Linked DNA regions of Oryzias latipes. The protein of the gene in region 1 interacts with the protein of each later gene in a biochemical or structural test. Links are inferred from orthologs where the notes say so. Each region holds a gene or a part of one and is shown on either strand. Other genes may lie near its edges.

Region 1 (4,233 bases):
AAAAAGTGGGCCTTATCTATCAAAAGAGTTAACCCAGATGGATCACTGTGGAACCAACTAGCAATACAGTCTGGCTGTTCAAAACATTTGTGGAAACAGATTTTGATGAGAGGCCAGACTGTTTTTTTTTAGGGTAAATCTATTGTTTACTTTTGGACTTCTTTTGAATATTAATATTAATAATAATAAATAATAATAATAATTGTTATTATTATTATTATTATTACCATTATTATTATTATTATATAATTTTTATTATTATTTATTGACTTATTATTTATTTATTGTTATTTATTGTTTGTATTGACTTACTATTGATTTATTATTAGTATTATTAGTATTATTATTATTATTATTGACGTAGTGTTGGGTTTTTCTAAATAATTTAAATTACATGTCAAAGAGGTCTAAAACTTCTAAATTTTTAGAAATTAATTTTAAAAATTCTTTCTAATAATTCTAATAATAATTTCTAATAAGAATTCCTGCAACAATGCATTTTCATTCAAGTTTGAGCTTTTAAGGCTGACTGTTTCTCTTCTTTAACAACAACAAATGATGTATCTATATATATATATTATATACATAAAATATAATGTATTTATATAAATGTATAAATATATTTAAATATAAAAATATATACAGTTTATAAAAGCTACTTAGACACCACTAAAATCACTAGAAATCAATGTTATGTGGGCGTCGTCGACCTCACCAAGATGGCGTCGCGCTCCGCCACCGTCGGCCAGGCTTCTAAAGCGGGCGTGTCTCCTCTAGTGATATAGCTCATTGCTCCAGACTCTTGGTTTCTGGACGTGACAAAGATGTGTTGAAAGACAGATGTGTCACTATGACCTGAACTATTGGCTACAGTTTTTTACAGTACATTATAAATTATTATTATTATTATTATTTTTTTACAATTTTTTACGACCTTAAAAAACTGTTATTTCAATAAAGTATGTTTTAATATTTGTTTTATGCATTTTTCTTTATTTATTTTCAAAATGTGTTTTTTTTACCAATATTATTTAAAACACACAATACTTTGATATCAGACGATTTCACATTCCTGTGTTAAGTTCAGCTTTACTTTGATGTTCCAATTTGCTGACACAAATTGTCGTTATGGATTTTAATTTATCCAACGGTTTGTATGACATACAATTTATTTATAGTGCACATTACGCACTTATTTATAGGGAAACGTAGACGGCGTTGAATTGAGAAAAAAACACAAGTAAACCAATTAGGATTATTAGTATATTTTAGATATAGTTTAAACTTTTTTAAAAAGACAAACTGAGTGACCGTTCCTTGACAATAAACTATCGTTTGCTTCAAATCTCGCGTGAAGTAAAGCAGTTTTGTGAAGTCTCGCGGTTCTGTGATAATACGTCGGGCATCTTAGTGACCAAAATAAGACTGATAACTTTGCGTAAGCGTCCAATAACTTGACATTCTGTTGTCCTTTAAACAGGTAAATAGCGTCCAGTTGACTTGTTTCATCTATTTAAGTGTTATGTTTGCGATTTCTGCAAGTTTTGACTTGTGGGAAGTCTGTTAGCATGCCTTGCTAGGCTGGATGCTAGTAGCTTATTTCTGTGTTCGGGAAGAATTTTAGTGAAAACGTCGATTTCTTTCGGGTAGTTGCGTTAATTTCTGCATTAACATGTTTAGTTCACAGCCGCAGCATGTCTGACAGCGAGGACAGTGATTTCTCCGACAACCAGAGCGAGCGCAGCAGTGACGGAGAGGCCGAGGAGGCGGAGGAGAATGAGGTAAGCTAACGGCTCGCGGGGCTAACCGGCCGGGTAAACAGGGATGGAGAGCCCGGTCAGACTGCGGCTGCGCGGGCGATGGCGCCCGTCTCTTCTCCAAAACATTTATTAAAGTCCACAAAAAGCAAATGCTTACAATCCTTCGACAGAGCTCCTCAAACAAATGAAATGCACACGAACCACTGATCAACAAATATATATATATATATATATATATATATATATATATATATGCTATATTATATCATGTCTTTTTAGGATGTGGAGTTGAAAGATTTGCTTCAGAACCAGTTTTGTAAGTCTTTTCTAGACGGTTTTATAATGAATACAATAACAGATTAAGTGATCTGTGGGTTCAATATGTCGCCATGGCAGAAAGAACATTTGTTGTCGTCCAGACTGAGTTGAACATTTTCACGCTGAATTGCTGCACTCTGACCAATCGGGGAGTTTGATTCAGAAGTGGCGTGTAGCGGTTTAGCCGTCAGGGCCTGGAGGTTCATCTGTTTTTAAGCACGTTGTAGCATTGTCCGGTTCTTGATCCAGTATGTCTTCATCTCAATGTTCCTTATCACCTTCTGTTACCTGTGGAAGAAAGTCTTTAGTTTGGTGAAGCAGTGTACGATAAACCGACACTTGATCCAAGTATGAAACAATCGTCGATGCAGCTTCCAGTCATTATCTGTTTGGAGGACATGAGGATTTAGCTGCAGGTCTTATTGTGACGGATGATTGAGTAGCGATTGAAGTTCACCTTAATGCTGTCCTGTCGGCTCTCACATCTGCTGCCGTGGCTTCACCCTTCGTCTCAGCATAAAGGTTGACCGTGTTGGTTGAGAAGCTACAGGAAGGCATGTTGTGTCTCAGCTCTAAGATGTGAAGCAACATTTGGAAACCCTCATTCTCCACCAGAATACGGTCTTAGGTCCTTTGTTTTAAAAGCTCTGACTTTGTTATTGGCTGAGCCTTTTCCGATGACGGCCGACATTTTTTTGGGATGTTTTATTGACTGTTGGAAGTGCTTGCAGCAGAACTCATGCCGGTACCACCAGAACGGTTCCTGCCCTCCTCCGGATGGAACCGCACCATGTGATTTTGAACGTTTACAAATGTACACACCGCATGACTTTAATCCAAAGCCAATAAGCTTCAGCACTGATATCTGGCCAATCGTGTCGCACGGTCTGCCGTGTTTACGCCATCTCAAAAACGTCTGATTTAAAACTCCCCACGTTTAAATTAAAATGTTTGATTATCGATTAAACTTCATAAAACTATTCTGAATTGTTTATGTATTGTAATCAAATAGGCGTCTAATAACCGATTAGTGGCTGTCCTTCTGTCACGCATCGATGAGATTTTCCTCTTCCGTAGTGATGATTATACGCTGTTGCATTCAGGCAACGTTCTTTCATTTGCTGTAATTCAGTCGGGGGAGGCAAACATGAATTCTAGTGATAATGCAGTTCTCTGCTGTTTAAACAGACGTAAGGGAGGCAGAACTCTCCAGAAATGTTGCCAGGAGCTAATCTTTTTAATATATTTCTATTTTATCTATTTACAATCTTGGAGAAAAGATTTCTTTTTCAAACAGCTTGTAGGAACTGAAACCTTTTTGCATTTGAGTTCTTTAGTTTTTGTAGCATTCTTCTTTTGTTTTTTCATGAATCATGATCAAGTTTTCATTTAGCTTTTGAACATTTTAGTCCTTTTTTTTGTAAACATTTGCTGCTGTGCATCGTCATCAGGAGGAGACGGGCAGCCCTGTGGGCAGCGACAAAGTAGCAGAGGAGGAAGGGGAGGACCTGGATGATGAGGATGATTATGATGAAGAGGAGGAAGAGGACGAGGATGATGAGCGCCCCAGGAAGAAGCCAAAGCACGGAGGGTTCATCCTGGATGAAGCTGGTGAGGCGGAGCTTCATGGAGCGCTTGCTGCTGTTCAGGGCGGAGCTTAACTTCTGCGTGTCTGTGCAGATGTGGACGATGAGGATGATGAAGACGATCATTGGGCGGATGAAGGTGAAGACATTCTGGAGAAAGGTGAGACCTGTTGCTCTGGAAATGAGGTTGAAGCGATTTCTAGAGGGACCGTCGCTGATCTTCCTCCCCTCTGAACTGATGATGCGCTGAAAGATGTTTCATCACAGGTTTGGTTTTACTGATCTAAATGGAACAAAAAGTCAAAGACTGACACAGTGAAAGACAGAGATGTGTTTGTAAAAAGCCGTGAGGAACGACGACACTTTGGCTCCTAAAGACAGAATCGGGGCGCTTGGTTCGTCTGTTTCTGCTGGTAAACGTCTGGACGCTGGAAAAAGAGTTTTTCAGACTTTAGGCGAAATCACAGAAAGTTTCAGTGGAATCTGCGTTCATGTGGTGTAAAGAGGCTCCATGCTGCTCCACACTGTAGAAAACGTTCACAGGAGCTCTAATGTGGACTTTTACTCTG
Region 2 (2,735 bases), on another chromosome or scaffold:
TTGGCCCGGGCCTTTAGCCTGGCTAAGAACAGCCAGGGGAACCGCTACACCAACCGCGTGGTCACGCTGTGGTACAGACCTCCAGAGCTGCTGTTAGGTAAACGCCGCAAACCGCTGAGGAACGCTGGAAACGTGGAATTTAAACATTAGAATGTCGTCTTTCAGGGCTTTGTGCAAAAACGGAACATTCCTGCTGTTGTCTTGGTGATTTCACATTTATGTTGTTGGAAAGTAAATCTGCAGCAGATCAGCAAAAAAAGAAAGATGGGACCAAACGACAAGAAAAAAGCCTTCATAGTATATATTTAAGTACTTGTACACACATCACATCCAAGCATTTGTTCATCGAGGTCTATTTATTAAACATTACCGACCTTTGAACTCACGATATTCCCATTGTAAAAAACCACCCAGATCCAGGAAGTCTTCTGGTTCATCTGGGAAACGACAAAAGAATATTTAAAAACGGAGCAACGATGTCCGGCTTTACCACCTTCCCTGCTGCTACCAGCCCGTCGCACTGGGACAGACAGCAGCGTCTTTGTCCCGCCACGGCGCCAGGACAACAAGCCTTCAAACTGGGTCACGGCGGTACCGCTGAACGCCACTGTACACGCGTGTGCCGGACCATGGCAGGGATCCGTGTGGATCGGGGATCAGAAATAAAAGCCGTGTTTGGACACGGCTCAGTGTTTCAGGATGTCTGGTAGAAATCCAGCGTTGCAGTCTAGAAAACAGATCCGGGTCAACGACACCAAGAGGTCCGGTTATTCATCCGGTTATCCGTGACACATGTTGGAGCCTAAAGCTTCCTGTGCGTTTATGGACCGGTAACCATCTTGTGCTGTATCACTGTGAAGCAGTACTATGGAGAGTGTTTAGTAGTAATATTATGCGTGGTGACGACGCGACTCCAGTCGTTCATTTGTGAAATGATTTTTTTTAAAAAGTGACGTGACTGGATTCAGGGTTTGGGGCCAGAATGGAGGATTGACTGAGCTGGGAGTGAAGAAACAAGAGAACCAAAAGGTTTTAACGGACACTTTCTGCTTCAGTACTTCAGACGTAGATCGGTTTCTACATTTGAACTTGTTACAAGAAGAACCAGACCTAATAGAAATGTCGTCTTCCAGACATGAGGAGTGTCTGTCACTGATCATGTAAATATATGTGCACAGCTGTAAAATTAAAAAATGCGGACTGTAAATACTTTTCACAGCTCTGGTTTGGGGCTCCTATGCGACCCAGATGCTGCATGGCCCCTTTTTGCGGCCCCGACTCCTGCAGAAACGGTTCCGGAAAACGACGCGGGTTTCAGGTTACATGGCTGAAAACGTCGTGGTCGTCAGGGAAACGGGTCTTTAGAGGCTGACGAGTCGAGAAGCAGACGGCTTCAACAGGAAACCAATCGCGTTCCTGTTCTCCTTCCCTGCAGGGGAGCGCGACTACGGCCCCCCCATCGATCTGTGGGGGGCGGGCTGCATCATGGCGGAGATGTGGACCAGAAGTCCCATCATGCAAGGCAACACGGAGCAGCACCAGCTCACCCTGATCAGCCAGCTGTGTGGCTCCATCACTGCAGAGGCGAGTGGTCTTTGGGGGCGGGGCTCTGCGTTGCAGCAGCTCGCTGTCAATCATTTCTGTTTCTCCAGGTGTGGCCCGGCGTGGACAAAAAGTATGAACTGTACCAGAAAATGGAGCTTCCCAAAGGCCAGAAGAGGAAGGTCAAGGACCGCCTCAAAGCCTACGTGAAGGACGCCTACGCCCTGGATCTCATCGACAAGCTGCTGGTTCTGGACCCGGCTCAGCGCATAGACAGCGACGACGCCCTGAACCACGACTTCTTCTGGTCCGACCCCATGCCCTCAGACCTCAAGAACATGCTGTCCACTCACAACACGTCCATGTTTGAGTACCTGGCCCCGCCCAGACGGAGGGGGCACATCCCCCAACAGCAGCCCAACCAGAACCGAAACCCGGCCACGACCAGTCAGACGGAGTTCGACCGAGTCTTTTAGCCCCACTGGACGTCTTGGACCGAGTTTGACCGGAGACTCTGCTGTGAGGCCAGTTATGATCAAACGTTCAGGTTTTATGGGATCAGGAATGAAACGGACAGAAATGCTCCTTTATCCAGAATCTGGTAGCTTTTTCAGTTGAACTGATTGTTTTCATTCAAATGTTCTTTGTAATAAAGCAACACAATCGTGAACATTTATGGAAACGTCTGAATGCAAAGCAGGAAAGTGGTTTTTACTTGTGTGAGTCGGTTAGAGAGGAAGTGACGATGAGAGCCGCAGACACTAAACCCTCTGAGCTTTTGACTTAAACGCCGTCATTGTTCCTTTGGGATGTTTAGGAGGGGGAGGAGCTACCTGGATTCATGGTTTGTGGCATGTTCTACAATTGAGCCAGAAGGAAAACTAACGTGTTTGTTTACATGTGGAAGCACGTAAACATGGAAACCCCTGAAGGTAATTGGGTCCAACGACCCGGAAAACGGTTGACTGAGCCAGACCGCAGTACAGGACCGTTGTAGGTCTGTGTATTCCCGGCTGGATTCTGATGAGACCGTTTAGCGTGACGGCATCAGAACGCGACGTCTTTATTCCATCATGGATGGACGTGTGCACGGAAGAGCAAAGCCACAAACCTGAGAGGACGGACAGAGCAGAGGCTGTTCAGTCTAAGGGCTGCTCAGCAGACCCACCGGCTGCAGGAAAAGGCTTCCTGAG
Region 3 (3,275 bases), on another chromosome or scaffold:
TCACTTCAAAAGAGTTGTTAAGAAATGAAAGATCAAATTGACCTAAAGAAAACCCATCCAGTTTAACTTATACCTGAAGTTCCACCAAATGAAACTACAACCAATTACAAGATTTTCTTCCATTTAGATAGAAATTATATTTCAGATGAGTAGACTAATATAATGTTAATATTTTAAATTCTGGGGATTGAATTGTGACTGGCTTTCACAGTCGAAGTTCAGCTGAAACGTAACATTTTCTGTCTTTGAGTTTGCTCAGATACTGCAGATTCTTTTCAGAAATGATTTTCCATGTTAAATGAAAGTATAAATGCTAGATTACTAAATAAAAGATCAAATTATTTGTCTCCTTTGATCACTTAACTAAAGTTAAGTGAACCCATTGCTGTTGTGTGTTTGAATCTATGGGGTGCTGCAGCTGTACATTTTTGCTCAGAGTTAAACACATTAGTGGAGGATTTGTGTTATACTTTTACATGAAAAGTGCTACATAAATAAAGTTTGATTGATTAATATTTCATTTGCAAGCTGTTACACAAGTGGGCCAGTGAGGTAACAGAAAGCTGTCCATGAGCTATGAACTAGTGGAAAGAAGCCATAAATGAGTGCTGCTCGGTTAGACTTGGCTCCAATGGGAGGAAACATCTGAGAGTTTTGTTCCTCTTAACGTGACTGTTTGCTCCGTTTTCCCCAACTGCTTCCTTAGGTGGTACCGCTCCCCTGAGCTCCTGTTTGGTGCCAGGATGTATGGGGTTGGCGTTGACATGTGGGCGGTGGGATGCATCCTGGCAGAGTTGCTTCTTCGGGTACATAAACTTCACATAAATATCCATCCATTGCGCTGATCTATTAAATGATTGTCTCCCCCTCTGCAGATACCATTCCTTGCTGGAGACTCTGATCTCGATCAGCTGACCAAAATCTTCGAGGCTCTTGGAACCGCCACAGATGAAACATGGCCTGTTGGTTTCAGTTTTTTTTTTCCTTTATATATCAGATGAGACTGTCCTAAGAGAGGTAAAACTCCTTGCGAACATCTGTTTGTCAACCGTCTCTGCAGGGAATGAGTAGTCTGCCAGACTTTGTGTCCTTCAAGATATTTCCTGGCACACCGCTGGAACATATATTTAGTGCAGCTGGGGATGATTTACTTGAGCTACTACAGGGCCTCTTTACCTTCAACCCCACAACCAGGACCACAGCCACACAGGTAAATGCCATGTTACAGTGCAGCTGCTCCTCTTCATTTAAAAAAAAAAATTGTGCCAGTTTTATTAAGATCATGTTGTTTAAAAAAGTTTGTTTAAATCTAAAAACCAGAAATAAAAGATCTTTAGAACATGCTTCATTAAAGGTAGCAGGTTTATTTTACGCTGAATTATATGGCTTCACAATAAAACGTATTCTGTAAATGTCAAATTAGGTTTTCTTTTTATATTTCTTTTAAGAATCAAAAAAGATGAAGACACAGAAAAACACTTTTGGATTTTTCATGAGAGGATTTATTTTGTAAAACCACACATAATATATATGGAAACAAGTATGAGAGGCACAGCAGTGATACCTGCAGATATAGTGTACATCCATTGTTGTTTGTTTTGTTTTGCCCAGGCTCTAAAGATGAAGTACTTCAGTAATCGGCCTGGACCCACACCGGGTCCACAGCTCCCCAGACCAAACTGCTCGGCTGAGGCTTTGAGGGAAAAGGAAACTGTTGGGCTAAAGAGGAAAATTGAAGGCCTTGAAACAAGTAAAGATCGATTTATGACTTCTTTTTATATTTATAGTCTTAAGTTCATCCTTAATCCTCTAAAGACCACCCTGAGCCAGATTTACCGATATTTGTGTAATAAACAAAGATCACCTGTACATATCTTTGATATTTATTTATTCTGTTGGTGTGAGCAGCACGTTTGGGTCTAAAAGAGTTCCTAAATGTCCCGTGAAAGCCCAAACTTCAGAAAGAATAGTAAATAGTTTGGCTTCTCACAGTCCACATGGTAACCTTTAAAAGGCAGCATACCTCTAAACCAAACCCAGCCATTTAGTGGGTGTTGGCTGAGTTAAAGTTAGAAGTTCAGAATATGGTAGAGCAAACACTGCAGTTCAGTGAGTGGTGGGGAGGGCTGGTTTCTTGGTGAAACTGGGAGGTTCAAAGCCTGTTTTGTGCTCCTCCTGTGGTTTGGATAATGACTACATATTCTCTGGTCTGCTCTATCCTGTCTCAAAGAGACTTTCAGAAAGAACACTGTAGATAAAAACTCTGGACTTTTAGCATGTGAATGCATAGAAAAGAAAACGGACTTGATGTCAAGTGGTTGTATCTATAAATGCTTTACTTTAATTAATTTAACATGTTGTTTGTTTTTTTATTTTCAGCCGTAATGAAGAAGAAGCTCGTTTTCTGACCAGAAGTGATTCACAGACGGGAGGGAATGTCTACAACGAGATGTGGCTTCTTGCTTTACTCAGGACTGTTTCCTGGATGGAACAGAAAGCAGCTTAAAAGCAGATGATGCTGTCTCTGTGGCATAACACCTCAAGGTGCTGCAGCATCCAGCAGTACTAAGGTGCAACAGAGACTGTAGTCAGAACCGTTGGTTCTGGTTCTTCATGATGCCTAAACTTTGGGACTGTGATAAAATATTTTTATTAATGTTACTTGAGTTTAAAACAAGTAGGCTACCAGACTCACTCCCTGCACATGGATGTTATTTTTATTTTTTCTATGTTAAACCAATAAATAGTAAATAAGCAGATAAAATATACTTTGTCTTTTTTTCCCCCCCAGTTCCTTCACATAAAATGATTAAATACAAAATACTGTATTTTCAGAGTTTAGCATAGTTTGGCGTGCTGGTGCGACTTATACTCTGGTGCGACTTATGTGTGATTCAATTAAAAAAAATAGCAACAACCACTAGAGGGCACTATATATGTGTGTGGATCAGTATTTAATACTGAAGAAGTCTTACGCCGGGCTCGATGAAGTTGTTCAGAAGCGACACAGAAATTCAAGAGACTTAGTTATTTGAAGTGATATAAAGAGTTTAGTTGACTTTTTAGCATCTTATTTTTGCTATGGTTATCTAATTGGTCATTTGTTGTCCTTCTTTCTCTTTCGGCTTTTCCCATCAGGGGTCGCCACAGCGAATCATCCTTTTCCACCTCACTCTATCATGAACATCTTCTACCCTAACGTTAGCCAACTTCATGTCCTCTGTTAAGACATCCATGTATCTCCTCTTTGGCCGTCCTCTTGCCCTCCTGCCAGG

The links.
Region 2: of the proteins of supt5h (region 1) and cdk9, one has a biochemical effect on the other in vitro, tested with the Homo sapiens proteins (4 studies listed by BioGRID, with this or other methods). The link is inferred for Oryzias latipes from reciprocal best matches to the Homo sapiens genes SUPT5H and CDK9.
Region 3: of the proteins of supt5h (region 1) and cdk7, one has a biochemical effect on the other in vitro, tested with the Homo sapiens proteins (2 studies listed by BioGRID, with this or other methods). The link is inferred for Oryzias latipes from reciprocal best matches to the Homo sapiens genes SUPT5H and CDK7.

The regions. Positions count from the first base shown.
Region 1 is NC_019871.2:945,289-949,521, forward strand, and holds the start of supt5h (transcription elongation factor SPT5), read left to right. Parts: upstream 1-1,343; 5' UTR 1,344-1,480; intron 1,481-1,680; 5' UTR 1,681-1,694; coding exon 1,695-1,781; intron 1,782-3,529; coding exon 3,530-3,689; intron 3,690-3,758; coding exon 3,759-3,824; intron 3,825-4,233. UniProt on the Homo sapiens protein: Component of the DRB sensitivity-inducing factor complex (DSIF complex), which regulates mRNA processing and transcription elongation by RNA polymerase II.
Region 2 is NC_019870.2:30,294,955-30,297,689, reverse strand, and holds the end of cdk9 (cyclin-dependent kinase 9), read left to right. Parts: coding exon 1-97; intron 98-1,435; coding exon 1,436-1,584; intron 1,585-1,652; coding exon 1,653-2,018; 3' UTR 2,019-2,224; downstream 2,225-2,735. UniProt on the Homo sapiens protein: Protein kinase involved in the regulation of transcription.
Region 3 is NC_019867.2:13,791,379-13,794,653, forward strand, and holds the end of cdk7 (cyclin-dependent kinase 7), read left to right. Parts: intron 1-706; coding exon 707-806; intron 807-875; coding exon 876-962; intron 963-1,060; coding exon 1,061-1,210; intron 1,211-1,611; coding exon 1,612-1,750; intron 1,751-2,379; coding exon 2,380-2,408; 3' UTR 2,409-2,764; downstream 2,765-3,275. UniProt on the Homo sapiens protein: Serine/threonine kinase involved in cell cycle control and in RNA polymerase II-mediated RNA transcription. Cyclin-dependent kinases (CDKs) are activated by the binding to a cyclin and mediate the progression through the cell cycle.